Linked DNA regions of Schizosaccharomyces pombe. The gene in region 2 interacts genetically with the main gene of each other region. Each region holds a gene or a part of one and is shown on either strand. Other genes may lie near its edges.

Region 1 (3,758 bases), on a different chromosome or scaffold from region 2:
AGTCTGGTATTAAAATTCAAGTCAATGAAAATGAAGAAGCTCCCGAAACCGCTGCTAATAAAGATAAACAAGAACTGAAATCGATTGCTGACAGTCTACCACCTCCATCCTCTCTTGTGGGTTTTAGACTAACTCCGGCAGAATTTGAAAAGGACGATGACTCTAATCATCACATTGACTTTATAACGGCTGCATCAAATTTGCGTGCCATGAATTACGACATCACACCTGCGGATAGGTTTAAGACGAAGTTTGTTGCCGGTAAAATTGTACCAGCCATGTGTACATCAACTGCTGTCGTTTCAGGACTTGTATGTCTTGAGCTTGTTAAACTTGTTGATGGCAAAAAGAAGATCGAGGAATATAAAAATGGATTTTTCAACCTTGCTATAGGGCTCTTTACATTTTCTGATCCTATTGCTTCTCCGAAAATGAAAGTCAATGGTAAAGAAATCGACAAAATCTGGGATCGCTACAATCTCCCGGACTGCACACTTCAAGAGCTTATTGATTATTTCCAAAAAGAAGAGGGGTTGGAAGTGACCATGCTTTCATCTGGAGTTTCTCTTTTGTATGCTAATTTCCAACCACCTAAGAAACTTGCTGAAAGGTTGCCTCTCAAAATTTCTGAATTGGTTGAGCAAATTACTAAGAAAAAACTAGAACCTTTCCGGAAACACTTGGTGCTTGAAATTTGCTGTGATGATGCCAACGGTGAAGACGTTGAAGTTCCATTTATTTGTATCAAGTTGTAATACCTTTGAGAACCGGTTAATTCCTGGAATTTGCAACATTTAATGCCAATGGCTCTAATAAATTTACTAAATTAGTATTAGCAGTCTTTAAAAAACATTAATAGGCATGTATGAATAATTTATTATTTTTCCTATACTCTTTCTAATTTTTATGAACTAAGATCTGTTATATTTTAAAAAGTATTTTGACATGTAGTAAAATTGTTGTTTTTTTGAGCAATTTTTTTAACGTCGGCGATTGGCATTTACGTAAGTTTCGACTGCTAACCTCCTAATTTACCTAAGAGTATATCTTTACTCGGCTACAAAAGTCTATCGTATACATTATATTAAATTTAACTAGAATTATTGCCAATGTCTACTGCCTCAAAACTTTGTATCGTCGGGGCCGGTGTCTTTAGTGTTTACATGGTTTATTTCGTACATAATAATCAGATTATTGAACGAGAGGTAATATTTACTTATATTAAAGAAAATATGCACCATAGCTAATGTAAGTATAGAAAATGTCGGCGGGAGTTCAAAAAGATGATGAAAGGAAAAGAATTAAAAAAGAAAGGTTTGAAGACCTAAAGCGACAACAAGAGTTACGAAAATTTTACGAAAGCCAGCTACCTGTTGAAGAGGACGAAAAGGGTCTCCGACAGACAACGCAAACAACAGTGAACGACTAAAACCAAGTTTTTAACACAGATTGGACGAATCGAAATTATAGACAGCTTGAAACCTATAGCCTCGGACTTCCAGTGTTCAGCCAATTTATCCAGAGCAACTTATTTACCTTTACTATACATTAATATTTTTTTCATCTTTGCCAGATTTTAAGGATTTAATATTGAGAAATTCAGCTCGGTTAAATAAAAAAGAAGTAACTACATCTAGAAAACGGCATAACAGGGTGTGTTAATCTTAGAGGGTTATAGGCAAAAGAGCTAGTTTTTTGTTAACATTACTCAAAAAGGAAATATAAATCAATTTACATTATGCTATATATTAATGAAATTTACTTTATCCGGTTATTAGTAATATAAACTTGTCATAGTTTACTGGTTATTCGTTATAATGGTTACTACCATCGTAACGAGGTAAGTATGCCGAAGTGTCTTGAGATTCCTTAATGTGCGAATGAAGTGAATGGTGAAGGTAGTTTATGTCTGACAAATTCTAATACATTTCACTAGCTTGTTGAAAGATTTCAAAACTGAGTAAATTTGACCACCACTTAATGGAAATTTTTCTATTCTTTTTATTTTATATAAGCACGTTCATTTTCTAACCTGTTATTTTTCTACTTCATGAAATGAGTTCATCTTCCTCAAAACCCGTGAATACTGGGTTGGTTACACCTCGCCGCTATTCTACAATGACTGGCATACGGACTGGTCCATCTCAGAGTGGAACAGGGAGTATTCCATATTCCCCAACGTCACCATTGTCCCGAAATTTTTCGAACTATTCCATACCTATGCTACGAAGCAATAGCACTCAAACAAATGTAAATGGGCCTACAGCATTTGATTTGGGAGTTACAGAGAAATTGATGTCTCCTGGAACTTTAGATAGATACACGCGTCCTGCCTTGTATCCGTCGAAGGACTTGGATTATTTAAAAAATGAGTATGTTAATTATGAATCTACAACAAGTCAACAAACCAATTCTAAAGGTTTAAAAGAGAGCAACTTTGTTGGTTCAGGAATTATCACAAGTATACGTATTCGACCTATTGGTAAAAACCAAGGTGTATGGTCACATGGCAAGTTAAGCAATGACCCATATGGTCGTGAATACATTCGCCAGCAAACAAGTACAAGCTCGTCCACAATTCAGCAAGAATATCTTTTTAATAATGTTTTTGGGATGGAATCTAAAAATTACGATATATACAAACGTTCTGTTAAGTCGGTTGTCCGTAATGTTTTTTCCGGATATAATGGAATAGTGTTTGCTTATGGAATGACCGGCACAGGAAAAACATATTCTATGCAAGGTACGGAAAACGAACCTGGTATTATTCCACTTGCCATGAATGATTTATTTGAAATGGTTGAAAACAATTCTGATGACGATACCTTTCAAATCCGTATATCCTATTTAGAAATTTATAATGAGAGAATACGAGACTTAATCGGAAACTCGGACGAAGAGCCAAGAATACGCGAAAATGCATCTGGAGAAGTCAATGTTACACCATTAACTCGAGTTCTCGTCACTAGCCCCGAAGAGGTTAGTCAGGTTATTGAACAGTGCAATGCAATCCGAAAAACAGCAGCAACCGATTTCAATACGTATAGTTCTCGTTCGCATGCAATTCTTCAGGTTTTTCTTATTCGAAATAATCCTACTGCTCACACTTCACAAATTTCGAGTCTCAGCTTGGTGGATCTCGCTGGAAGTGAAAGAGCTTCAGCTCACCATGAAAGACGCAAAGAAGGAGCATTTATCAACAAATCTCTTTTAACATTAGGAACTGTTATTTCTAGGTTGTCAGCAGCTGCAAATCCTTCACTTACCTCAAATTCAGGACATATACCGTATCGTGAGTCTAAGTTAACTCGTCTGTTGCAGCAATCTTTATCCGGCCAATCACAAATATCACTTTTAGCAACGATAAGCATAGAATCCAACCATACGATGGAGACTACTAACACGCTTAAATTTGCATCTAGAGCTCAAAATTTGCCTCAAGATATTCGCCAAGCGGAAGCTGTGACTAATGTTCAAGCTGAATTAGCATCTTTACACTCTGCCCTTGAAAAGAATGCCCAAGAAGTTGAATATTATGCTTCTTTGGTGAAGCAATTGACTTCGGACTTAGAGGAACGAGATACATACATTGCCATGTTAGAGGCAGAGCGTTCGCAAGGAACTGCTATAAGTAGAGCTCGTTTACGAATGGAGGAATTGCTTTCTGACCATAATTTCGAAATTGCAGATCTAAGAGATGAATTACAAGATAAAGAACAAATTATTTATGCTCTTCGATATGCTCAGAAGCAACGGGA
Region 2 (3,758 bases):
CTGTATATGCCGCTTTGAGGAATGAAACCTGCCCAAAGAAAATAGACGCCATTTTATCTGAAGTGGCTAAAAACCCGGCTGATTATGTCGAACGCATAGGAGGAAATTCAAACAAAGATACTATAGAAATTACGAGTTCCACCAAACCACATGCGCAGAACGCGGTCCCTACTTTCCATCCAGAATATGGTCGTTATATGTTGGAAAGTACACCAGGTGCGCCTTATGGTTCCACTTTAAAGGATTTTACTTTTGTAGAGTACAATATGCGATTAAGAAGAAAAATTATTGAAAACCATTTACTACCCAATGAGCTACCTTTAACAATTACTAATTTCTTTCGTCTTGGAACACCAGGCTTTACGGATCCAGAAGTCGAAGCCAATGGTGCAATTTCGCGATCTTTTTTCTTACCGGACGATGTTATCAACACACATGTTCGTTTCCCGACCTTGACTGCTAATATTCGTCAAAGGCGCGGGAGAAAAGTGGCCATGAATGTTCCGATTTTCTTCGATAAAAATACAATTAAACCATTTCACGATCCTACCGTTCCTTGGGATAGAAATTTGTTTCCTGAAGATGCAAATGCACGAGATGGTGCAGCGTTAGACAATCATATTTACATGGACAGTATGGGTTTCGGTATGGGATGCTGTTGTCTACAAATTACATTCCAAGCTAAAAGTTGTGATGAAGCTAGACTTTTATACGATCAGTTGACTCCTATTACCCCCTTGATGCTGGCATTATCTGCCGGAACTCCAGCATTTCGAGGCTATTTGGCTGATCAAGATTGTAGATGGAATGTGATTGCTGGTGCTGTCGATGATCGAACCGAGGAAGAAATGAAAACTGTGCCAAAATCAAGGTATGATTCTGTTGACTTATATATCTCGAATGACAAGCGCAATTTACCGGAATATAATGACGTCCCGGTCGTTATAAATCAAGATTGCTACGATAAGCTAATAAAAGATTGCATTGATGAAAGATTGGCTAAGCACATGGCTCACATATTCTCTCGTGATCCTTTGGTTATTTTCAGTGACAGCATTTTACAAGACAACAGTGTATCCAATGCTCATTTTGAGAACCTAAACTCAACTAACTGGCAATCTATGCGCTTTAAACCTCCTCCACCAGGTAGTGATATTGGTTGGCGTGTAGAATTTAGATCAATGGAAATTCAAATAACTGATTTTGAAAATGCGGCATATTCAATTTTTGTTGTGATGCTTTCTCGTGCAATTCTATCCTTCAATTTGAATCTGTACATGCCGATATCGCTAGTGGATGAAAACATGAAAGCTGCTCATGCTCGTGATGCCATTCATCGTAAAAAGTTTTGGTTCCGTTGCAATCCATTTCCTGACGCAAGTACTGATGATGAATCTGGTCAGTTCCGTCAACTTACAATTGACGAGTTATTTAATGGTGAGCACCGTGAAAACGGATTCCCAGGTTTAATTACCATTGTTCGAAGCTATTTATACTCTTGTAATCCTGATGCCAAAACTATTTGCCTAATTGAACGTTATATTCGCCTAATTTCTCAAAGAGCAAATGGCCAATGCTTGACTGCTGCTTCGTGGATACGCAATTTCATTACAACTCATCCTTCTTATAAGCAAGACAGCGTGGTCAACGACGAAATTAATTATGATTTAATTAGAAGAATAGCAAAAATTGTAGATGGCGACTACGACGATACGTTACTTGGAAAATGCTCATAATGCAGATGAATTCTGAGTGGAATATATATAAGATTTTTTTCTACTTAATAACATATCTAAAATTTTGGTAATTTAAATTCCTTTGCAATTCAGTATTACAAGTGTAGTTCTTTGGCAACTGAGACTTCCCATTGATTCCTTTCATTAAGTGAATACTCATTATTTAATTAGTGCTAATATATATTCAGTAACTACATAGTTGATTTTCTGTATTGCCCCACCCTTCCCTATTGTTATGTGTATACGCAGGTAGGGTGAGCGAACGCAATGCATGCACCCTTTTAAGAGTCCGCGCTACGCATTTTAACTGCCTTTTGCTGTAATGGCTCCACGTTCTTCCGCAGTACATGTTGCCGTTTATTCTGGGGTTGAAGTCTATGAATGCTTTATTAAAGGTGTCTCTGTGATGCGCAGACGCCGCGATTCCTGGTTGAATGCTACACAAATCTTGAAAGTGGCTGACTTTGACAAACCACAAAGGACAAGGGTTTTAGAAAGACAAGTACAGATTGGTGCGCATGAAAAAGTACAAGGTGGATATGGAAAATATCAGGGTAAGTTGTCTACTGTTACGCGTTGTGACATGATTTGCTATCTTTGAACAACGCGAACAATTGAGTGTTTACTAAGCCAAATCGAGGTATTTTAATACCTTTTTGTATTAAATATCTCTATGGACGCGTCCTCTAAATGATTGACGGTATTAACCAAACTATAGGAACTTGGGTTCCATTTCAGCGTGGGGTCGACCTGGCCACAAAGTATAAGGTTGACGGAATAATGAGCCCAATATTGAGTCTTGACATTGATGAGGGAAAAGCAATTGCTCCAAAGAAGAAGCAGACCAAGCAGAAAAAGCCTTCTGTACGTGGCCGTAGAGGCCGTAAACCGTCGTCACTTTCTAGTAGCACTTTGCATTCCGTCAATGAAAAACAACCGAATTCTTCTATATCACCAACAATTGAGTCATCTATGAATAAAGTGAATTTGCCTGGTGCAGAGGAGCAAGTTTCTGCAACACCTCTGCCAGCGTCTCCTAATGCACTGCTATCACCAAATGATAACACTATAAAACCTGTTGAAGAGTTAGGCATGTTGGAGGCACCGCTTGACAAATATGAAGAGTCACTACTTGACTTCTTTCTTCACCCAGAAGAGGGACGCATTCCTTCCTTCCTGTATTCGCCGCCCCCGGATTTTCAAGTTAACAGTGTTATTGATGATGATGGCCACACTTCTCTTCATTGGGCATGCTCAATGGGACATATAGAGATGATTAAGTTATTACTGAGAGCCAATGCTGACATTGGCGTGTGTAACAGACTGAGTCAAACACCATTGATGAGGAGTGTTATCTTTACCAATAATTATGACTGCCAAACTTTTGGACAAGTGCTTGAGCTTCTCCAGTCTACTATTTATGCTGTTGACACCAATGGTCAGTCAATTTTTCATCATATTGTGCAATCAACCTCAACTCCTTCAAAAGTTGCAGCGGCCAAATACTATTTGGATTGCATATTAGAGAAACTAATATCGATTCAACCATTTGAAAATGTTGTGAGATTGGTAAATCTACAAGATTCAAATGGAGATACCTCTCTATTAATTGCTGCTCGAAATGGAGCCATGGATTGTGTAAACTCTTTATTAAGTTATAACGCCAATCCTTCTATTCCTAACCGACAAAGACGTACAGCTTCCGAGTATCTTTTGGAAGCTGACAAAAAGCCACATTCATTGTTACAGTCAAACTCAAATGCTTCGCATAGTGCTTTTTCATTTTCCGGAATAAGCCCTGCTATTATCTCGCCATCATGCTCATCGCATGCTTTTGTTAAGGCAATTCCTTCAATATCTTCGAAATTTTCTCAATTAGCAGAGGAGTATGAATCTCAGCTTCGAGAAAAAGAAGAAGATTTGATTAGAGCGAATCGTCTCAAGCAAGACACGCTTAATGAAATTTCCAGAACTTATCAGGAATTGACCTTTCTGCAGAAAAATAACCCCACTTATAGTCAA

Evidence for each region.
Region 1: mutations in res2 (region 2) and tea2 together harm fitness more than expected from each alone (negative genetic interaction), as found in Schizosaccharomyces pombe (3 studies listed by BioGRID, with this or other methods).

What each region holds. Positions count from the first base shown.
Region 1 is NC_003423.3:3,891,146-3,894,903, forward strand, and holds the start of tea2 (kinesin family plus-end directed microtubule motor Tea2), read left to right. Parts: upstream 1-1,911; 5' UTR 1,912-2,055; coding exon 2,056-3,758. Other genes in the region: uba1 (ubiquitin-activating enzyme E1), read left to right, coding at 1-755; Pet117 cytochrome c oxidase assemby protein, read left to right, coding at 1,110-1,205, 1,259-1,429. UniProt on the Schizosaccharomyces pombe protein: Promotes microtubule growth, possibly through interactions with the microtubule end, and is important for establishing and maintaining polarized growth along the long axis of the cell.
Region 2 is NC_003424.3:684,535-688,292, forward strand, and holds the start of res2 (MBF transcription factor complex subunit Res2), read left to right. Parts: upstream 1-2,000; 5' UTR 2,001-2,058; coding exon 2,059-2,290; exon of another isoform or gene 2,291-2,454; coding exon 2,455-3,758. Other genes in the region: glutamate-cysteine ligase Gcs1, read left to right, coding at 1-1,736.